Pelodiscus sinensis: one gene and its partners. The protein of the gene in region 1 purifies or fractionates together with the protein of each later gene. This does not show direct contact. Links are inferred from orthologs where the notes say so. Each region holds a gene or a part of one and is shown in the gene's direction. Other genes may lie near its edges. The genes, in order: NXF1, FYTTD1 and RANGAP1.

The links.
Region 2: the proteins of NXF1 (region 1) and FYTTD1 purify together in Homo sapiens (affinity purification with western blotting; 3 studies listed by BioGRID and IntAct, with this or other methods). This does not show direct contact. The link is inferred for Pelodiscus sinensis from reciprocal best matches to the Homo sapiens genes NXF1 and FYTTD1.
Region 3: the proteins of NXF1 (region 1) and RANGAP1 purify together in Homo sapiens (co-immunoprecipitation; 3 studies listed by BioGRID and IntAct, with this or other methods). This does not show direct contact. The link is inferred for Pelodiscus sinensis from reciprocal best matches to the Homo sapiens genes NXF1 and RANGAP1.

The regions. Positions count from the first base shown.
Region 1 is NC_134721.1:36,439,834-36,447,381, reverse strand, and holds the start of NXF1 (nuclear RNA export factor 1), read left to right. Parts: upstream 1-4,466; 5' UTR 4,467-4,610; coding exon 4,611-4,641; intron 4,642-5,101; coding exon 5,102-5,303; intron 5,304-5,668; coding exon 5,669-5,834; intron 5,835-7,419; coding exon 7,420-7,503; intron 7,504-7,548.
Region 2 is NC_134720.1:50,951,898-50,959,545, reverse strand, and holds the start of FYTTD1 (UAP56-interacting factor), read left to right. Parts: upstream 1-4,595; 5' UTR 4,596-4,663; coding exon 4,664-4,799; intron 4,800-7,648. Other genes in the region: RUBCN (run domain Beclin-1-interacting and cysteine-rich domain-containing protein), read right to left, coding at 1,964-2,001. UniProt on the Homo sapiens protein: Required for mRNA export from the nucleus to the cytoplasm. Acts as an adapter that uses the DDX39B/UAP56-NFX1 pathway to ensure efficient mRNA export and delivering to the nuclear pore.
Region 3 is NC_134711.1:89,278,151-89,286,049, forward strand, and holds the start of RANGAP1 (ran GTPase-activating protein 1), read left to right. Parts: upstream 1-4,891; 5' UTR 4,892-5,027; intron 5,028-5,681; exon of another isoform or gene 5,682-5,703; intron 5,704-5,788; exon of another isoform or gene 5,789-5,919; intron 5,920-7,899. UniProt on the Homo sapiens protein: GTPase activator for RAN. Converts cytoplasmic GTP-bound RAN to GDP-bound RAN, which is essential for RAN-mediated nuclear import and export. Mediates dissociation of cargo from nuclear export complexes containing XPO1, RAN and RANBP2 after nuclear export.

The DNA.
Region 1 (7,548 bases):
ACTGAGACCAATCCTATTCAACATACCCATAAATGATCTGGAGAAAGGAGTAAACAGTGAGGTGACAAAATGTGCAGATGATACCAAACTGCTCAAGATAGTGAAGTCCAAAGCAGATTGTGAAGAGATTCAAAAAGACCTCACAAAACTGTGACTGGGCAACAAAAAAAAAATTAAAAATTAATGGAGATTGCCTATCTCCTAGAACTGGAAGGGACCTTGAAAGGTCATCAAGTCCAGTCCCCTGCCTTCACAGCAGGACCAAGTACCATCCTGACAAATTTTTGCCCCAAATCCCTAAATGGCCTCTACAAGGATTGAATTTACAACTCTGGGTTTAGCAGGCCAATGCTCAAACCACTGAGCTATCCCTCCCCCAAATGAATTGGCAAAATGGCAAATGAATTTTAATCTTGGTAATGCCTATTGGAAAAATAATCCCAAATTATATGTACAAAATGATGGTAACTAAATTAGCTATTTCCACTCGAGAGAGAGATCTTGGAGTCACTGTGGCTCATTCTCTGAAAACATCACTCAATATGCAGCATCAGTCACAAAAGCAAACAATGTTAGGAATCGTTAAAAAAGGGATAGAGAATGAGCCAGATAATATCTACCGCTCTGCTCTGCACTGATTAGGCCTCAGTTGGAGTATTGTGTCTAATTCAGGGCACCACATTTTAAGAAAGATGTGGAGAAATTGGAGAGTGTATAAAGAAGAGCAACAAAAATGCTTAAAGGTCTAGAGAACATGAGTCATGAGGGAAGACTGAAAGAACTGGGTCTTAGTTTGGAAAAGAGAAGATTGAGAGGGGATATGTTAGCACAGCTGAGGCCAACCTGAGTCCGGCCTTGCTGCCCAGGTCAGCACAGGGAGCCAGGAGAGGACTGTTTTTTGGGGTGGCTTTCAAGTCATGGGTGGGTGGGTGTTTTGTGAGCCACATCCAGCAGGGCTGGACTGAGGCATGGGCGAGCTGGGCAGCTGCCCGGGGCGTCAACTGATGAGGGGCACCTGATGGCAGCTGTAAGGGGCGCGCAGCATCACTTACAGCTGCCATCAGGCGCCGCGTGCCCGGCTCCCGCAGCACTGGCCCTGCAGAGCCGGCCAGCAGTGCCCTTCCCCCCACGGCCGCGGGGCCCTGCACGGCCCAGCACGCGTGCCAGCAACGCTGGCTGGGCCGGGCTGGGCAGCACATGTGCCCCGGGGGCAGGCCTGCGCACCTTGGGGGGGTGGGGCCGTGCGCCTGGGCCCAGGGCACCAAAAGGGCTCAGGCTGGCCCTGCTGGGCAGGGGAGCTCTCCAGAGCAGCCATGAAAGCTGCAGAAATAAAGATGGTGGAAGGCAGCAGGAGCCTGCTGTGGCCAAGAAACCTCAAAATGCATTTAAATGCAGTTTCTTAAAGGGGCAGAGCCTTATTTAGACTTTTTTTGTCTTGTTTTGCTCGACAGCTTTGCTCCGGTTCTTTGTGCTGGATCCACTGCTATCTTGCCTCTTTGCCCAGAATGAGTTGGCCACCCCTGTGTTAGCAATTTTCAAGTACCTACAAGGGTGTAATGAGTAGGGAGAGACATTTTTCTCCTTGACCTCTGATGATAGGACAAGAAGCAATGGGCTTAAATTGCAACAAGAGAGGTTTAGGATGGACATTGGGGTGCATCTACACTGCACCGTTATTTCGAGATAACTAGAGTTATTTCGAAATAACAATGTGTCTACACAGCCATTCCATTATTTTGAAATAACAGACACCTTATTCCGAAATCTGAAAACCTCATCCTATGAGGAATAATGGCTATTCTGAAATAGCTATTTTGAAATAAGACATGTGTAGATGCTTACATGCTCCACTGCTGCTATTTTGAAATAGCCCCTCACCAGGGCCATTCTAGGTTATTCTTCCCCAGTGCCTCTTGCAGCTCTAAATCGAGATAGCACGTCTACATTAGGGAAGCCGGCCTTGGACTCATTTTGAGGCTTCCCTGCAGTGTAAACTTGCTATTTCGAAACTATTGCTTATTTCAAAACAAAGTGTGCAGTGTAGACGTACCTTAGAAAAAACTTCCTTTCAGGATGGTTAAACACTGGAATAAATTGCCTAGGGAGGTTATGGAATCTCTATCATTGGAGACATTCAAGAGCAGGTTAGATAGACATCTATCGGAAATGATTCTTAAATCAGGGCTACTCAACACGTGAGCCACTTGCAGCACATTCCCCATTTGAGGCCTGCGATGTAGTTTGGGTTTACGCAGAGCTCAACATTGACCCGTAAGTGGGATGCTTTGAACATGGCCTCCACTGGGAACATGCTCCACGATGGCGAGGCATCTCAGGCAGGGTGAGCATCGAAGCATGCAAGCAGATGGGCTGGCTGGAACTGACTGGTACAGGGTGTTGGCATTTCTAGCCCCCAGGAAGAGGTGCTGGGAGCATTGGGGCATTGTGGGAAGTGCTGGCTGCTTAACCTTGTCGGCAGAGCCTGAGAAGTGCAGACTGGCTCACACTGACCATGTTTGGGTCCAGCACCATGGCTTAAGGCTTAATCTTTGTATTCATGCCTATCAGTGTGAAATAAGCTATTTGCATATCTATTTGCATGTATATGCAACCACACTTAAGTTGCAGCTCTCGGCATGTGCTGTGAGTATCAATGTGGCCCCCGGGGCTTCCAAAGTTGAGTAGCCCTGATCTAGATGATATTTGATCCTTCTGGGAGTACAGGAGACTGTACTTGATGACCTCTCAAGGTCCCTTCCTGTTCTAGTATTCTATGAATCCATGAGGCTACCACATCTGTACACCCACATTTTGAATACTGTGTGCAGATGTGGTAGCCTCATCTTAAAAAAGATACCTTGACATTAGAAAAAGTTCAAAAAAAGGGCAACAAAAATTATTAGTTGTTTGGAATGGCTGCCATATGAAGAGAGATTAAAAAGACTGGGCCTTTTCATCTTAGAAAAGAGAAGACTAAGCAAGGGGGATACAATAGAGGTGTATAAAATCATGACTTGTGTGGAGAAAGTAAATAAGGAAAAGTTACCTACTTTTCCCCATAACTCAAGAACTAGGGGTCACCAATTGAAATTAATAGGTAGCAGGTTTAAAACAAAAGGAAGCATTTCTTCACACAGCACAGAGTCATCCTTTGGAACGCCTTGCCAGAGGATGTTGTGAAGACAAGTACTTTAACGGGTTCAAAAAAGAACTAGATAAATTCATGGAAAATAGGTTCATCAATGGCTATTAGCTAGACTGGGTAGGAAAGGTGTCCCTAGTCTCTGTCAGAGGCTAGGGCGGGGTGACAGGGGAGGGATCACTTGATGACTACTTATTCTGTTCATTCTGTCTGGGGCACCTGGCATTGGCCACTGTTGGAAGACAGGATTCTGGGCTAGGTGGACCATTGATCTAACCCAGTATGGCTGCTCTTGTGTTCTTAAAAAAATCATGAATTTCCTTCCATAAAAATCACCAGATTTCTATTTTATAAAATCATTTTTGGGCTCTGATAATGATTTTCATCTTTTCTCTCCAAACATGGGGGCTAGAAACCTTAGGGTAATGTTAAAATGAAACCTGTGGTTTCTACTTGATCTCCTGCCTCCAGGGACTGAGGGTGAAATGGCAAGTGGAGAAAGGGTTGACTTTGTACTTGCTCATCCTGGGAGCACGTATCTTAATTTTGGCACACAGCACTGGAGATAGGCTGCTTCTGCCACCCCTCACACCTTTCTACACCTCCTTTGCCCCTGAAGCTGGATTTGACTGCTAGAATAGCATCCCTCTGATATACATCAGCCCCAGCACAAGAAGAGCACAGGGCAAGCAGGATCTTCTGCCACAGTTGAGGCCCCCTGGGAGCGTGTGTGTCTTGCAGTGCAAGGAGGGGAAGGAATAATAATAACACTCCTGGCTGCTGAAACTGGGTGCCTGCACTGGGGTTAATCCCGGGGACTGAGGCAGATGGTGGCTGCTGCAACCACCAAATGTAGACCAGGATCCCCAGTGAAACTTGAACCCAGGACCTTAGGGATGGGGGAAGGAAGAGGAGCAAAGGCAGATAATGAGATAGAAGGGGTCGCTCTGTCACATTCTTTGTTCAGATGCAACTTGAACGCAGATTCCCCTGCGGGGGGGGAGGGTCCTGGCGGTCGCTGCAGGACAGATTCGAACCCGCGGCCTAAGAAGAACTCCGTCCCTGGGAACCCATCCTTCCAGCAGCTACCGCCCTGCAATGCAAGGGGGCGCTTGGCTAGTATGCGCAGCCCAGCTTTCTCAACCGCGTTGAGAGGTCGGGCTTTTCTGAGCATGCGTAATAGCTCCGCCTCCTCGGAAGCAAATAAGGGGAGGCGTAACTCGGCGCACGCGTATCTTCTCAACGGAAAGTGTCGGACGCCCTGTACTCATGAGCTGCTGAACTACGCATGCGCAATGCCTTCGGTTGTCCCACCCACCGCATGCGCACCTTCCGGGAGCTGTTTACGCATGCGCTGGGGCAGCGGAGCCGAGCGGTGGAATCGGTTGCCTGGTTCCCCCCGCTCGGCTAAGTAGGAGATTTTCCTTCCCCTCCCCCGCCCAGGAGCGGCGCGCGAAGCCCCCCCTCGATGGCAGAGGAAGGGAAAGGGGGCTACAGCGGTGAGGGGGCTGGTGACGCGGGTCGGGGAGGGCTGTGGCTGAGGCCTGTGGACACTCGTGGGGGTGGTGTCTGTGGGGGCGGAGCCATGGGGTCCGGCGGGGAGGGGGTCTGAGGGCGGGGTGGGGAGGAGGCTGGGGTGGGTTCTGGGGGGTCTGTGGAGTCTCGGGGGGGGTGCTGCATGGGGCTAGTCTGTTGGGATCTGGCTTCCCTATTTCTGGGAGCCTCCCCGGTCCCCCCCCCGTTTCCCAGCCCAGGGGCTCTGGGGGGATGGGTGCAGTCGAAGGGCTGGGGGGAGGGGCCCTGTGGTGGCAATAGGCAGATCAGTAGGATTTCCTCATCTCTACTGATGCAGGGCCCAAGAGGGTCCAGGGGTTCCTGTAGGTGGTTTGCCATGTGTTGAGCATTCAAGGAGGAAAGTTCCTGGATGGTGTCTGATGCCCCTTCTGCTCCTCTGAACAGAACATGACGACCGTGTGGGTGGTGGGGGCTTCTCTGGGAGAAGGAGAAAAGGCCGGGGCCCGTTCCGAGGCAAGATGTACAGTGAAGTGAACCACCGTTCTTGGAACCGAGGTGTAGCAGGTCATAGTCCTTCTGGTCAGGTGGAGGAGAGTGATGGAGATGTTCCCATGAGTGACGCCCATGACAGCCTTCGAACTAGATAGTGAGTAAGAAGTGCTGTTGGCATTGTGTGTGGTGGAGTGCCTCGGGGTGTTGGGATGCCAGTTTTAGTCAGGTCCCAAGGGCGGGGGGGAGCTGGTTGGTGGCGGGAGGGAAGGAATGGGATATGGGGCTTTTCCCTCCAGGTGGCATTAGCAGCATTTTAGCCCTTGATTGGGTACTAGGGAAAGCTATGTTGTTCCTGTGTTGGGGATAAGTGGGGCCTGTGTGTCTGGGGACTGCTGTAGACATTTCATCCCAATGCAGCGAGGACCACAGGGTTCAAGCAGGTGTTTCTGGATTCATTAGCTTTCAAAGTATCCTCCCCATCCTTTTAATGTTAACAGCTTGTGTCCCTCTGCTTCCCAGTGCTCCCTATGGGCCACGGCTGAACAGGCGAGGTGATGATTGGCACAACCGGGGCCGGGGAGGTGCCACCAACATCCATGTCACAGTGAAACAAGAGCCCACTTCCCAGGACCGGGGTGCCAGTGCTATTCGCAACAGTAACCGGAGGAGGTGGTACAAGGTCACAGTGAGTGCCAGAGGGTGAGGGAGGGAGCAGGGAATGTGGCCAAATCCCTACCCCACAGCCTGTTAACCTGGTGCAGTAAGATCAGGGTCTAAAGTATAAGCCACAGGCCTATTATAAGGCCTGAGGCTTGACCTACAATAATCAAGATTTTGCTAATATAAATAAAGCAAAGTTAATCTGTGAGCAAAAGGCAGGTCCAAGCCGTAAAACACTAATTGATATTAGGCACAGGCTGGAAGCACATTTCAGAGGGATAGTAACAGGACATCTTGTTAAAAATCTTGGTACCAACACACTCCCCACAGATAACAGGGACATTCTGACCCAGGTTCAATGAAGGGTCTAAATTGACAGCATGATGGCTAGAGATGTTTTTGATCGAGCCACCAGATGCAAGGTAATGGGTGGTACCTAGGTAATGACAGCGGGTGTCAACCAGATACATCAGTAGTGGTGGGTAACTTGTTTGTACCTGTGTATAAAGATGTGTCTTGGTGGGGCTGTCTCTGTCCTGCCTAGGAGGCAGTGGGACCTCCCATTAATTGAACTCTGAGTTCATTGTGAGGGTGTACACATGTGTAGTGGTTTAATAAAGTCTATGGATAATTATTATTGTATTTTGTTTGACAATAAACCTGGCCTGGTGTCTTTGATCCTTATTGGATTTTGTGGTCTTTGGGAGCTCTCTTGGAGTCTGCTGTCCTGGCTACCTGTGCAGAGTAGGGATGTGAAAGGTTAACTGGTAGGCATCACCATTAACAGGTGATGCTTACCAGTTCTAGTTAACTAGTGGGGGCTGGAGCCCTGTCTGTGGCAGGTCTGGGCACATCGCAGGCATGGGGCAGCTCTGGCCGTGGCAAGGGCCTGGGTGTGTGTGTGGGCTGAAGTGCCCCTCACCTTAATTGATGAACTAGTTAAACTTCACATTTTAAATCCATAGTGCAGAGTCAGTGCAGCATACAGCGGGGAGCATATGCTTGCACCGAATGATTATCATCATTGAATGTAATAGAACCGGGGCAGGGAACCTCTTTTGGGTCAGGAGCTACTGACCCACAGTAAAATCAGTCGGGGGCAGCACACAAGTGAGAAGCAAAAAAACCCAACCATCCCAAAACCAAATCTCACTGATGTGGCCCCTGATTGAGGAGGAGAAAAAGACACTTCCCATATTCCCCTCGCACACCAGAGCCTTGTGGGGCCCAGGCTAGTAGATTTGTGCACTTTGGCCTCATGGGGAGGCAGCAGGGGGCTGGAGCGCCAGCATAGGCTCTGGATCCAGGCAAGCTGGGTGCCACATCCAGCCCCTGTGTCTTAGGTTCTCCACCCCTGGAGTAGAATAACTATCAGGACACCCCACCTCACCTTTGCATGGACACTCTGACTTAATTTGTGAAGGGGGCACAATGTCCAGTTGGTTGCCAGGTATCTGGCCAGCAGGCAGCTCTCTGGCTGAGAGGAGAGATGGACCCTGTTGCCCATTGGTTGATGCACCCATGGGACTGTTCCCAGAGACCTCCTTTGCTCCCAGTCCTATAGTTTGCTGCAAGCTTACATGCCACTTACAAGTGCCTTTTTTTCCTAGATTCCCTATGGAAAGAAGTATGAAAAGTCATGGCTTCTGAGCTCTCTCCAGAACATGTCCGCTGTCCCCTTTACTCCAGTGGAGGTGAGAGCTGCACTGTGATATCTGTCTAGGGAGACAGATTCAGAA
Region 2 (7,648 bases), on another chromosome or scaffold:
TCCAGTGGGGGGGGGGGGGGGGGGGGGAGAGAGCCTCTACTTTTTTACTGCTGATAATATTAGCAGAACAGTCCAACTAACGGGCTTATCGCAAACTACCTCCCCCAGATGCCAACAACCTCAACTGCCCCTTACACATCCACTGAAGCATAGGTCAGCCTCTATAATGCAGTTCTGTGTTTCCAATGCAAGTCTCAATGGTACCATGAAAACCAAAAATGTGGGGACTGAGTAGACCAAATGGAATTTATAAGATCAGAACGGCCACTCTCGCTCAGATCAAAAGTCCATCAAGACCAGCATCCTGCTTCTGACATCGGCCAATGCCAGGTGCCCCATAGTCAGAGAACAAATAGAACGGGGAATCATCAAGTGATCCCACGCACTATTATCAAAATAAATAACACAGAAGGCTTTGTGTACTCAGCTGATCAATCATCATTTAGTCTATTCAAAGTGTACATTATTTTAGTTCAAATGAATTTGTGTTTAACTGCCAGCGTATGGCACCACAGCGCCGCAGACTCCAAGTCAAACTTGCACCTGAACACGAAAGACCTTAGCAACCACAAGCATTCAGGTTATGGATTTATTTTAAACACAGGCAACCTTTTTAAGCAATGCAACCAGTTGCCGGGGACAGAACAAGATGTAATCCAAACATGACACCCTGTTCTGATGATGCCCCTTGTTTCCAGTGTCTGAACAGGGTGGTTTCTCATCTGAGGACAGCTCGTAAAACAAGAGAAGAGATTTGGCAGCTGCTGTCTTTGGACGCTCCATCTGCTAGATACCTAAGGAGCATCTGGTATTCAACTCACACCTGCAGACAGCTCAGTCCAGACTTCTTTACCTCCGACTGCTCCTGGCATGCCTGGAGCGGGCTCAGTGCTGCATCGCTCTCTACACACACTCCTACACAGCCACATGCCATGGCTCTGTTACAGCCACGGCTCTGTTACAGCCACAATCATACACAACTTGCTCTGCCCAACGACTGATCCTTGCTCCGTGCCAATACCACCATGCACACCCCCAACCTGTGCCCCCAACTGTAAACAAGCTCCCCTGGCAGCACCACCCATCCCACTACTTCCACCATGCCCATTCACCCTGCTGGCACCCCCCCCAGCTGCTGTCCCTGCTGTGCCCCAGCTCCCCCACTGCCAGCCCAATCATGTTTCCCCTGCATGCTATCACCTATCACCCCCAGACGCACTGCCCCCATGTCCCAGCTCCCCCGCTGACCCAGCTCCCCTACCACCCCCAAACTCACTGCCCCTATATCCCAGCTCCCCCACCTTTCCCCATCCCACTGACCCCTATGCCCTCACTCCCCCATGTCCCAGCTCCCCCATGCCCCTCAACCTACTGCCCCTATGGCCCAGCTCCCCTGCCACCCCCAAGCCCACTGCCCCCATATCCCCACTCTCCCCCTTCCCCCAGCTCCCCGCCACCCCCAAGCCCACTGCCCCCCATGTCCCCACTCTCCTGCTGCCCCCCAAGCCCACTGCCCCCCATATCCCCACTCTCCCCCTTCCCCCAGCTCCCCGCCACCCCCAAGCCCACTGCCCCCCATGTCCCCACTCTCCTGCTGCCCCCCAAGCCCACTGCCCCCCATATCCCCACTCTCCCCCTTCCCCCAGCTCCCCGCCACCCCCAAGCCCACTGCCCCCCATGCCCCCACTCTCCCCTTTCCCCCCAAGCCCGCTGCCCCCATACCCCCACTCTCCCGCTGCCCCCCATGCCCCCACTCTCCCCTTTCCCCCCATGCCCCCACTCTCCCCATGCCCCCCCTCTCCCGCTGCCCCCCATGCCCCCCCTCTCCCGCTTCCCCCCATGCCCCCACTCTCCCCTTTCCCCCCAAGCCCGCTGCCCCCCATGCCCCCCTCTCCCGCTGCCCCCCATGCCCCCCCTCTCCCCTTTCCCCCATGCCTGGCCGCCCCCCGCAGCGCGCTCCCACCTGCTCGCCTCCTGCTCCGCGCAGCGCCCGATCTCCATGCCGGCCGGGGCTCGCCTCCTGCTCCCCGCGCGGCCGGGCCCAGCCCCCTGCGAGCCGCGCCGGCTGGTCCCGCAGCTCCCAGCACGCACCGCACTCGGCGAGCCCGCCCCTCGCACGCAGCGCCGCGCGACGAAACTACAATCCCCACAATGCACTGCGGCGTGAGTCCTGCGGGAGCGCGGGCGGCCGGTCCCCAGGCACTGCCACGGAATCGAGCTGGCAGTGCACGAGGGGCTATTAGCCGGGGGCGGGTGTTTGCACGAGGACTGCAGTCAAAACAGTTGCCCAAAGTTATGTAATTGTCAGCCAACGGGGACACTTGCACAGGAAACGTAATTTGTGCCATTCGGGTACGGGAGGATATTTGGACCGGATTTTTATTTCAAATTCAAAAACTCTAGTAACGAGGTATTCAGAGCATTCAACTCCCGGTGCTCCTACCAAAACAGTATTTTTTCTCTCCACTTCCAATTGCTACATGACTAAATGCAGCTAAAGCACATTCCACTCCGTCCTTCCCCGTATCTTCCCAGGCTGTAGCAACAGCAAAAACTTCAGCAGACACTAAGTGTCAAGACCCTAACCTAGATCAAAACCTAAACCATATACAAATTACTGGATTTAAAAGATCAAAAACTACAAACTAGATTGCTACAGATCCTCAAATAAAACTCTTGCATCTGACGAAGTCAATCTGCTAGCCCATGAAAGCTTATGCTCCAATAAATCTGTTAGTCTATAAACTGCCACAGGACTTCTCCTTGTTCTTCCAAATGAAACTGTCATCCTAAAAGAGCAAAGATTACTATTGTCAGTGGCATTTCCAGAGTCCATGCTAAAGATGGACGATGGGGGTGGGAGAGAAAATACAGTTTGGGATAGAGCTAAATCTGTTATAAGGTTAAGGATTAGTTCTACACAATGATAGCAACAGGCCTGGGCAGTTCCTCTTATCTATCATTAGCTAGACATTTTGCACACTCATGAAATCTACATATAAGTCAAAGACCTGATGTTTCCTTCATTAACCTCAATGACCCCTAAAAGACCTTGTCCATTTGGGGGCATTGAGAGGATGAAGTTAATATCTGTTAAGATCGGAGCCTTTGTTCACATTTCTTTTGAATATGTCCAGTTGTGACCTGCTGGTTTGGATAATAAGAGCCATGAATGGCTATTGTGCAGCCTGTCTGTGATTTGTGTGATATTCACCTGCCACCTGGACAAACAGCTTCTGACACCTTTGATACTTAATTGATTTGTCATGGGTTTAGCCAACAATCTGTGTCTCAGAGCAGGTGAATGTTGCTACCAACCAATGCTCCGTTCCAGCACCATATCAATGCAGAAATCAGGTCTATATAATATTTTGATGATAATATTAACATTAGTAGTTAGGGTTGCCAGATAGTTTCACAAAAAATACGGAATCCCCCTCCCAAAAAAATCGGGAAAAATTCTGTTGAGCAAAAAAAAAAAAAAAAGGGAGGGGATGGGGGTGAGGAGCTAGGGCCTAAATGCAGTCGCAGCCCCTATAATTTGCGGGCCACTGAATTTTTTTTACCGGACTGAAGGCACAAATACCAAGCTGACCAGATCAATACCAGACACCTGGCAACCCTATTAGTACTTGGCTTGGTAATTCTATAGAACCAGTCAGGAATATAAATAACCAGTCAGGTATATATAGTAGTGCACTGGGTTATTTATGATGGGTATTTTGCTGTGTGTTAAGATACCTAATTGGCCACACAAGGGCTACGTCTAGACTGGCCCCTATTCCGAAATAGCCATGCTAATTTCAGACTTTGGAATAGGGAAATCCGCGGGGGAGTTAAATATCCCCCGCGGGATTTAAATAAACATGTCCGCCGCTTTTTTTCCGGCTTGGGGAAAAGCAGGAAAAAAGCATCTAGACTGGCACGATCCTCCGGAATAAAGCCCTTTTCCGGAGGATCTCTTATTCCTACCTGAAGGAAAGACATATCGTGGGTGTAAATAGGTTTACAGCATGTTACTATTGAAAATTTGCACACAAGAAGCGGGGTCAATGATATCAAGATAACAGGAAGAAGGCCTCCAGCATTAGGTGGATCCTTTATAGAAGATTCATGGAAGAGCATGGACAAGAATCGTGCAAAACAGGATGGTGTGGAAAAGTTGCAATCTGCATTGGTGGCGAGACTATTTGCATGGATGAAATCACGGCTCTCCCAAGTATTTAGTTGGAGGTGGAGGGCAATGGGACATGGTATTTGAACAATTTAATCCCGTATAGGACGAGCGGCATTGCAGCAAGATCTTTAGTTGCATGCAAAGGTGTGTGCCTGCATTGGTGATATTTAGTCATTCACTGGGGCATTTTCACAGGTCGCTAGTCGAATAGGAGGCTGTTTGCACAAGGACGCATGAGGAAGTCACTCGCCAGCTCTGGCTGGATACGCTCCTCCTAGCCTGTAGAGGGCACCCCAAGAGTGACACCACAGGTTGCCTCGCGGGAGGAAGCTAGAGCGCCTCACTGAGCCTCTCCCTCTTCCACGCATGTGCAGCCCCGCCTGAGGCGGCGCGCATTACCGAGTGCGCACGCGCCTAGCCCATTCTACTCGCGCAAAGGCCAGTCACGGCACGGGCTTCTGGGTCGCTTGGCGCGGCTATCTGCGCATGTGCAGAGTGCGCGGCCGTTGGGCCAGTCGCGTAGGGGGGGGGGCGGCCATGAATGGGTTCCGAGTCCGGGCGGCCACCTCCGGTGCCCGGAGCGGCAGCAGCGAGAGCCTGGAGAAGATCGACATGTCGCTGGGTGAGTGGGGGCCGGGTGGCTGCGGCCCCTCCCGGCGACGCCGCCCGTGGGCCGAGCTACGGGGTGGGGGGGCGAGTGGGGAGTCGTTGGGACCGAACCACCTGTGGGTCTCGCGCGAGGGGGGTGGGCGCGACCACTTCTGGAGACCGCGGGGGGAGGCTGGGCCTAGGGTTCAGTGTAGGGGCGCGGGGGGCCGCATGGCAGGGGGCGGCTCCTGAGAGCACTTCCGGGGACACGTCCCCTGCCCGAGGGGCGGCGGGGGGGCCGGTGTCTCAGGGCCTGGCACGTGCAGCCCACCTAGCCTCAGGCTGGGGAGATGCAGGCCCCACTGCCGCAGGGGGGAGGCGGGCGGGCTGAGCCCCACCGTGCTGAGAGGGGGGAGTCTGCTCGAGGCCTGCCCTGCAAGGGGAGGGAAGTCTGGCCCGGCCTGCCCTGCAAAGGAGACTACTCAGGGAGGGGACGAGGCCTGGCGCAGTGACTCACGCTTCTGTTCCCGTTTTTTGTTACTGTGGGAAGGCCAGGCATTGTTCTCCTAAGTAGAAAAGTAGCAGAGGGGTAGCCGTGTTAGTCTGAATCCGCAAAAGCGACGAGGAGTCCTGTGGCACCTTATAGACTGACTGAAGTGTAGGAGCATAAGCTTTCGTGGGCAAAGACCCGCTTCGTCAGATGCATGTAGTGGAAATTTCCAGAGGCAGGAATAAATATGCAGGCCAGGCTCAGGCTGGAGATGATCCAATCAAGGAGGATGAGGCCCACTTCTAGCAGCTGATCTGGAGGTGTGAATTCCAAGAGAGCAGAAGCTGCTTTTGTAGTTAGCGAGCCATTCACAGTCTTTGTTTAATCCAGAGTTGATTGTGTCAAACTTAAAGATGAACTGTAGCTCAGCAGTTCCTCTTTGAAGTCCTTGCCCACAGACAACCCGCCAACCTGAAGCATATTCTCACCAGCAACTACACAACGCACCATAATAACCCGAACTCAGGAACCAATCCTTGCAACAAACCTCGGTGCCAACTCTGCCCACACATATACACCAGCAACACCATCACAGGACCTAACCAGATCAGCCATACTGTCACTGGTACATTCTCCTGCACATCCACCAACGTAATATATGCCATCATGTGCCAACAATGCTCCACTGCTATATACATCGGCCAAACAGGACAGTCCCTACGTAAAAGAATCAATGGACACAAATCTGATATTAGGAATGGCAACATACAAAAACCTGTAGGGGAACACTTCAATCTTCCTGGACACACAATTGCAGATCTAAAAGTAGCCATCCTGCAGCAAAAAAACTTCAGGACCAGACTTCAAAGAGAAACTGCTGAGCTACAGTTCATCTTTAAGTTTGACATAATCAACTCTGGATTAAACAAAGACTGTGAATGGCTCGCTAACTACAAAAGCAGCTTCTGCTCTCTTGGAATTCACACCTCCAGATCAGCTGCTAGAAGTGGGCCTCATCCTCCTTGATTGGATCCACCTCATCATCTCCAGCCTGATCCTGGCCTGCATATTTATTCCTGCCTCTGGAAACTTCCACTAAATGCATCTGACGAAGTGGGTCTTTGCCCACGAAAGCTTATGCTCCTACACTTCAGTTAGTCTATAAGGTGCCACAGGACTCCTCGTCGCCTAAGTAGAAAAGCTGCTGCTTGGATCTCTCACTTTAGCAATCGCACCCTTGCCTGTTTTTGCTGCTTGACCCATTGGCAAGACCTCAGAAACGCAGGTGTATTCACCATGGAAATGGCCAGGCTTTAGCCAAGAGAGCTTTTTTTTCACCTTATGGAAATTATAGGATTAAGTGGGGGTTGACCAAAACAGCTGCATTTAAACACTGCCTAAAACAAATCTCTCTTTAATTCCATTTTACCTTGAATTTGAGAGGTCTTAATCCCATTCATTATCTTACCATCAAGTTTCCCAAAAGTGTGGGGAGAACAAGACCTGAATCTTAATGTAAAAGAGTTGTGGTTTTTTTAAGAGGGAATAACAACTTTGTTGCCTTTATGCATATGAAGATGCAAAAAAGAGAACAAGCTGTTGTATTTTTCTTTGCGGATCAACTCAAAATATGAGGGTGCCTACAATTTGCCCATTTATATTGTATGACAAGTGGTCTTTGGCAAGTGGCTAAACACAGTCCTACATTTGATCAAAACTTGTGACATACTGTTTCAGTGCTCCCTTAAAGATAGGAATGTGGGAGGACAGAGTTGATTTTTGTTTGTGTATTATGATTAGGCCCCTACTAGGGATGTAAGTGGGTAGTCAATTAGTCAAGGGGAAGGAGTGGGTGCTGGGAGGAGTCAGCTTAAAAGCTAGTTTTCCCCAGCACTGTCTCTGTAGTGCCACTTTCCCCCATACTGGCTCTATCGGGCAGGGGAGAGGTTCAGGGAGGCTGTTCTGGCAGTAGCCTCTGTCTGCAGGGGTCCCAGCACTATCTCTGTGGTGTGGGGATGGGGGACAGGAAGCAAAGCTGTAGTGGTCCCAGGACTGTTCAGTCTTGGCTTGTGCTGGCCCCAGGAGCTAATCCCATTGTGGCTTTGCACTTTAAATGTGGTAGGTAAGTTTACACTACTTAACTTTTAGCAACACAACTATATCGACAGTCGTATCGCTAAAAGTTGGGCAGTGTAGCTGCTGTTTGTGTTGGCTCTTTTGCCAGCTAAATACTTCCGTCCTGAAAAAGTGGCATTAGTTTTGTTAGCAGGAGAGCACTTATGGGCAAAACTTGTCTGGGGGGGATGTCATTTAACATCTCTCAAAGACAAAAGTTTTGTCATTCAGTTGCTAGTGTAGACATAGCCTTATAGATTGTTGTAATTAGACCCAAA
Region 3 (7,899 bases), on another chromosome or scaffold:
GCACAGGCAACATGAAACATAAGTATGTACTTTGATTTAACTATCAGGAATCCAACACAATCTTGAAAACACTCATTTTTAAAATAAGTGAAAACATTTTCTTTACTAAACATGGAGATAACATTTTAATGCATACAAGTTAAGCACGTTAATATTGTACTATTTCAAGAAAACTTGGACCACAAGGGCAGATTGAATTAATGTCTTATTTGGTCATTTACTGTGACATACAGGCAGTCCCCAAGTTACGCGGATCCGACTTATGTCGGATCCGCAGATACAAACAGGGATTTTCTCGCCCCGGAGGACTGGAGCGGCGGGACGCCTGGTCCCGCCGCCCGCCTCCTCCGGGGCGAGAAAAGCTGCTCCCCATCTCCCTGGTCTGCTGCAGGAGCCAGCAGACCAGGGAGACGGGGAGCAAAGCGGCGCAGGACCCGGGGCCAGACCCGCAGCGCTTCCAGCTGATCTGGAAGCGGCCGCGGGTCCGGCCCCGGGTCCTCCGCCGCTTTGCTCAGCGTCTCCCTGGTCTGCAGCCGAGGAGCAGCTGCGCTACTGGACCAACCCAGCAGCACCCGAGCTGCTCTGCCCCAGGCGTCCCCAAGTTAGCCGCTGCTGAAACTGACCAGCGGCTGACTACAGGAAGCCCGAGGCAGAGTTGCTCTGCCCCGGGCTTCCTGGAATCAGCTGCTGATCAGTTGCAGCAGCAGCTGACTTGGGGACCCTGGGGTTCTTAAGTTGAATCTGTATGTAAGTCAGAACTGGTGTCCAGATTCAGCGGCTGAATCTGGATGCCAGTTCCGACTTACATACAGATTCAACTTAAGAACAAACCTACAGTCCCTATCTTGTACGTAACCCGGGGACTGCCTGTATTACATATTTGTTAATACTGGCCTTAAAACACTGAGGAACAGGTGCCTCCACACAATCTTGTTCCAGTGCTCTACATTTGCTATAAAAACAAGTCATTGCTGATTTACATACCGGCTGCGTCTAGACTGGCAAGTTTTTCTGCAAAAGCAGAAAACTTGCCAGCTGTCTACACTGGCCGCTTGAATTTCTGCAAGAACACCGACGATCTCATGTAAGATTGTCAGTGTTCTTGTGGAAATACTATGCTGCTCCCATTTGGGCAAAAGCCCTCTTGCGTAAATGCTTTTGACAGCAACTATAGCACCAGATCCTTGTTCTCCTATTTCCAAAGCACTCTATTTGGAAGAGGAAGTACTAGATTTGGGCAGTGGGTCTGTTTCCAAACTAGTGCTTAATAACAATCTCTATGTGGAAGAAAAGAGCGCCATCTGTTGGAAGTACAGGAGCTTCAGGGGGTAGCCGAGTTTGTCTGTTACAGAAAAAAAACAGCAAGCAAATGGTCTGGGAGCACTCTATAGACTAACAAAACATGTAGATGGTATCATGAGCTTCTGTGGGCACAGCCCACTTCTTCAGATGACCAGAGTTATGATTAGAGGATAAGGAAACTCAAAATAAATAGGAGAAGGGAAGGGGGGGGGGGGAAAGATGTTCTGTTGCCCACCCTCCTACCTCTGTGCATAAAGTATAGGGAGAAAGGGTGCTAAACCTGAGTAGATAAAGATCAATGTCTGTGGATAGATAAGGCAGGAAGGATACCATTCAGAAAGTAGTTAGCACCTTCATTGATAAAGTATAGTTACTGATAACCACAAGTACGTGAACAAAATGACATGTGCTTTGTCAGTGGTGACCTCTGGCAAGCTATACATCTTACAAAGAAACCTGTACTTTTAATCTTTTCTGAGTCCAGCTCACTCTGTCCAATGTGTGTTAAAGCCATGTAATCTTTTTGCTTGGTCCAGCAATAAAAGAGGTAGCATCACACCCACTCAGGGCATGAGATGGGAGCAGAGTTTCCAAAAGTGGCCCCATATTGTAGTTGCTCACACACAAATGGCATGACTAGGAAAGTACTTTGGTTCCTTTGATGTGCTAGTTTTCATCCAAAGTTGTCTATATGCCATTTTGCTATAGCGAGCCAGCAAAAGATTAAGCACATCAGAGCTCCTGACTTTAGCAACCACACTGATGGCATTCACCATGGAGACATTGTAAAATAATTCTTATGTCTGTTTCTTCCTGATGAGTACACAGCTGGTGGGGGTCAACTATTGCTGTCCAGCACCAGACTTCAGCTTCAGCCTGAAAACCACAAGTCAGAACAAAGATTTTATCTGGTGGTGCTTGTGTAATTAGTCGCTCAGATAAAAATATTGCAAGGTTTTCCTTACAGTTTCTCCCAATAGGGATAATTTTGGGTGGGCAATGGACACCAGCTGTCAGTATTGTTTTTGTGCTTGTTCTCAGACTGCCATTTCTCTATCCTAATGCCAAAAGGACAAGCATTAAATCATCTTTCAAAATTCGTTGCAAATTCACAGCCCAGATGGCTTCATACACTGTGATTAGTCACTGAAGAATATATTTCTGCCTCTCCTTCATGGTTGAGGCCTTTCCTTTGACCTCTTTCTCTGCCTCAAATATCATGGAAAAAGTTGCAGCATTATTCTTTGGCACTGGATCATGAACATATACACATCCAGGCTCCCCTTCTTGTGTCATAATCAGAGCTCCCTGTAAGCTATGTGCTTATGTGATTGCTCAGGAGAGATTCAAATGCTGCTCAGCTGAACAGCAGATCCACAGAGCTAGGCTACATCTACACTGCAGGCTTCTTGCGCAAGAACTGTTTTGCGCAAGAGTGTCCATTTTTGCACCAAAAATTAAAAATCCTGTGCCAAAAAATAAAAATTCGACATACAATATTTTAAAATTCTCCAAATTGTATTTGTTAAAATAACACCATATAATTATGCCAGTTTCAATTATTTGGTAATTTATTTCAAAATATCTGTCAGCAAATATGTCTCTAATAATATGGACAAAAAAAAGGATTTTTTCAAACAAATAGATTCCTGAAATTCCTAGGCAAATTAATAAGGAACTTCAAGTAATTCATTTAAGCTACAATATAGAAAGGTATTTCCCACACCCCTCAGAAGCAATCTAAAGGCTTTGCGGAATCATAAGTAGCATAGGAGGTGAGGGAGATGGAAGGAGCCTGGGAGTGAACTTGGAGGGTTATTGGTGTGGATGGAAGAAGTATAAAACTGTTTTTTTGGGGGAAAGTATGTTAGGGAGAATCCCACATGCAGATGCTGACTGACCCCATCCCATTCAATCAGGCACATCTGCCCCATTCCTCCCCCAGTTCCCATGCATCCCTACAGTCCCATCACCCCCATCCTCATCTGTCCTGGCAGTCCTCTACCTCCAGTCACCATGTAACCCTACAGTCCCTTGCTAATCAACTCCTAACTCAATGTTGTCACCCCATAAGCACCTATGCCCTTGCCCCAGTCTGTGATTTCTCTCTCCCCCCATATTCTGTGTTTCCTAATCTGTCTCCATGAGCAGGATGGTGTAATGAATGTAGCAGGGCACGCCCACTAGTGCAGAATTCCTCCAGGAGTACACCATTCAGTTTTGCCAGATGGACTCAATCCTGTCAATGGCTTTTCTGTACTTGACATCTTGTAGTTTCTTTCTTTTACACAATCCTTGTTCACCTATTTCATGCACATATTATTTACTTCAAATACTTCACAAATAACAGAGACTGTAGAAAACCAGTAGATATCTCTTGAGCCTTACTACTGGTTCCATATCTACTTACAACCATAATCAATAAGTATCATAACACATCACCTCATCTAACCACTCTTTCTTGATGTCTTTGTAAAAAAAATGCCATTAGTATAATTTCTGTGTTAATTCTATTTTAACAACAAACCATTGCATGCTATAAAACAAATATAAAGTGTGCACAGAAGTGAGAAAATGCTTTCACATATTACAAGAAAAATAATCTGATTTACTTATAACATTGTATGAACAAATACTATCAAAAGTTGAGCATCAGGGTGTAGTAAGTCTTAAAACCAGTCTGACTTCTCATTTCTGTTCTTTATAGACTGATAAGAGAGTATGTCATGTTGAAGTTGCCATGTCAGTCCCACGATATTAGAGAGATAAGGTAAGTGAGGTAATAATGTCTTTTACTAGACCAACTCCAGTTGGTGAGAGAAATAAGCTTTTGAGCTACATACACAGAGCTCTTCTTCAGATCTGAGGAAGTGGGTCTGGCCCACGAAAGCTCATCATCTAATAAACCATCTTGTTAGTCTTTAAAGTGCTACATAGTCCTGTATTTTGTTTCAGCTACACCAGACTAACACGGCTACATTTCTATCACTGTGTTCACTTGAACACTTCTCTCTTTTAACAACAGACATTGGTCTGTTAGTGAGTCACACTCATCTCTCTAATGACTTACATCAAAGCATTTAATTGCATCCCAACACGTCCATGCACATGCTGTGTGTGTACCAAATGTTTCTGGTAAACTTTGACAGTCGCATGGAGCTGCAGGACTTGCAAGTTCAAAGCTTGGCAACCATCCCAGCTGTGGAACCGGCAGGTTCAAACGAGAATGGAAATAGCTGCTACCCACTCTGAACGAAAACCGCAACAAAACTCCTAGTGACGCACAGCCAGGTACCCACCAGGCCTCTGACCTCCGATTCTGCCTCGCCTGCCCGCCCTCTCCCTTTTAATAGCCGGCGCTGCGCGAGGCATCCTGGGAACGATAGTCCACGCCGCGTTCTTCTCTTGTGGAACTACAATTCCCGGCCTGCTCCACGGCACAGCGAGCCCCCAGCGCAATGCATCACGGGGCTCGTAGTCTTCTCTGCCGCGCATCAAACCTCACCAGGGTCTCCAAGGAAACCACAATTCCCAGCATGCCGCACGGGGAAGAACTGTCGCCTACGCCACCGCGACGGGCGGGCGAGAGGCCTCGCGAGCCAATCAGAGCCGGGAAAACAAAACTGCCGGGTTTGAAATCCTCCGCCTCCCCCTGCGCCATCGGCCTCGGCGTGACAGGCTGGAGCCGGGCGCGTCCGACCCACACCCGACGGCAGCGCGCGCAGGTGAGCGGGCCCAGGGGCCGCGCGGCTTGTTTACTGTAGGGTCGCCAGGAAGTTGGCGGGGTCGGGGAGCGGGATCCTGACGCTTCTCCAGCCCGGTGTGCGCGGGGCCCCTCCTGGCGCAGCGCCCCGGCGGGGTTTCCCAGCGCCTGTGCGGGGGCGTCCCCTCCTGGCTGCCCCCCGACTCGGGGGCGGGGTGGGGGGTGCCCCGGGCGTCTGGTCCTGCGCCCCCTGCCCGCCGCGCCACGCGCTCCGGGAGCCGAGTCCCGCCCGGTTGCTGCGTGGCCCGGCCCAAGCCGCGCTGCTCTTGTGGCTGCCGCTTCCCCTGGGCTCGGCCGCCGGGCCGGGCGGGTGAGTGACTCTGTGCTGCGCAGCCAGGCTTGTTGCATCACTGAGGCTCGCTGGGGCAGCCTCACCTGGCGCGTCGCGCCCTGAGTACATCGCCAGGGAGCCGTAACCGCAGAGAGCAGCCGCGGAAGTCGGGGGGAGGGCGGTCGGAGTGTGTCACCGAGCAAGCAGCTGGGCAAACAGCTTCCTGTGGTGCTGTAGCCTTGTGGGTCCCAGGATATTAGAGAGACGGAGGAGTGTGTGTGTGTGGTAATAGCTATTATCAGATCATCTATTAGTGTGGCTATCTCTGCACTACAGATTGCTTCAGTATAACTTATGTCATTCTGGGGTGAGTGTGATGGGTTGGGCAACCCTCCACCTTGGGTCTGTCGCCTGAGGTGCTGAGACATCACAAAGCCTGTTTTCCCTTACAGCTGTGAGCCTATGTTGTTGAGCCTGTCTCTTCAGCCTGTTGCAGCACAGGGACAGAGCCACCCCCCCCCCCCCCCCAAATCTGCAGACTCAGGAAGCAGTCCAATGTGAGACCATTCCCAGCACTAGGGATGTAAGTGACTAGTCAGCTACCCGATAAGCATATGCTTATTGGGAAGTAGAGTAGTGATGTGAACCTGTAGTTGCTGTAATGTAGACATATCCTGAGAGAGAAAAACTTCTGAGATCACTTAGGCCACTCATTAGTCAAAACTGAGCTAAGAATTAGGGATGTAGAGGGTTAATCAATTACCTGGCAAGCATTGCCCTACCGGTATATTTACCGGGGTAACCAGTTGACTGGCCAGAGCAGCCCCTGCCCACGGCGCACCAGGCTGGGGCCTGGCTAGGCTGAAGCAGCCTCATGATGCAGTGTAGCAGGCCATCCGAGGGGCTGCTCAAGTGTCCCCCTCTTTCTCCAACCCACCCCCCCCGCCTGCAACATATAGTCAACCAGTTAACATATAGTTTAATTGGTTAACATTTTAAATGGGATTTTACAGCCCTACTAAGAATCCACAAAAGCCTCGTGTGCAATTACCAAATGAAGAAGAATTATCTAATATAGTATGAAACATATTCAAGCAAGATCAGAAGACTGAGTCAATCAAAGTAGGGGTGTAATAGTACAGGCAGTCCCCGGGTTACGCGGCTCCGACTTATGTCGGATCTGTACTTACGAACGGGGCTTTTCTCGCCCCGGAGGGCGCGGGCGGCGGGACTGCCCAGACGCGCCTCGGTCCCACTGCCTGCGTCTCCCTGGTCTGCTGGGGGGGGGATGCAGCTAGTGCGCCCTCCCCCCCCCCCCAGCAGAGCAGGCTTTTCTTGCGGACGCCTGTGGTAGAGCAGCTGGGGCCCTGCTGGTTGGTCCCGCAGCGCCGCTCCTCGGCGCTACTGGACCAATCCAGCAGCACCCCAGCTGCTCTGCCCCAGGCGTCCCCAAGTCAGCCGCTGCTGAAACTGACCAGCAGCGGCTGACTACAGGAAGCCAGAGGCAGAGTTGCTTTGCCCTGGGCTTCCTGGAATCAGCTGCTGATCAGTTTCAGCAGCAGCTGACTTGGGGACACCTGGGGTAGAGCAGCTGGGGTGCTGCCGGTTTGGTCCCCGCAGCGCCGAGGTGCGGCGCTGCAGGGACCTACCCGGCAGCGCCCCAGTTGCTCTGTCCGAGGCATCCAGATTCAGCTGCTGTTGAAACTGATCAGTGGCTGATTCCAGGAAGCCCGGGGCAGAGAAACTGTGCCTCAGGCTTCCTGTAGTCAGCTGCTGGTCAGTTTCAGCAGTGGCTGAATCTGGACGCCAGTTCCGACTTATGTACAAATTCAACTTAAGAACAAACCTACATCCCTATCTTGTTCGTAACCTGGGGACTGCCTGTATGGTCGATTAACCAATAAGCAAAAGCTTATAGGTTAATGCTATAGACTACATGCGTTTCCCTCCCCCCACACTTACCAGTACATGTTTTAGCAGACTTACCAGCAGCTCAGCTCAGTTCTGGCTCACACCGGGTCCAGTACCTGCTCCTGCTGCGGTTCTTTATTTGAAGTGTATTAGGAGCCAGGCAAGCAAGCAGCCTGGTTCAGTTCCATCTTGTGCTGAGTCCAGGAACTCAGACCCACCTTAGACAGGGGTTGCTGCCACCCCACGCTGCTGCCTCTTTATTAGAGGCAGCAGCACTGGACAACAGGCAGCTGGACTTCAAGGTGAACTGGTTTTTAAACTGGCTCCCCTCATGGACCAGCTCCTGCCTGACACCCTGCACTGCTGCCTCTGATACAGTGACTGCCAGCCCCACCCCTGGGGACTATAGAATAATCAACTAACCAATAAGAATTCATGAGGTTACTCAACTATTCAATTAACCAATATTTAACATCCCTAAATCCAAGAGAATCTTAGACTATTCCACTGCCTGACGTGGTAAATTTTGCACAGTCCATCAGGAAAAAAGGTGGAAAATCGCCACGTTGCTTGTTACAGTTACAGCTAGACTGGATAAGTACCAGAGATGTGATAATGTAAATATGTAAAAGCCTGGGTTTATCAGTAAAAC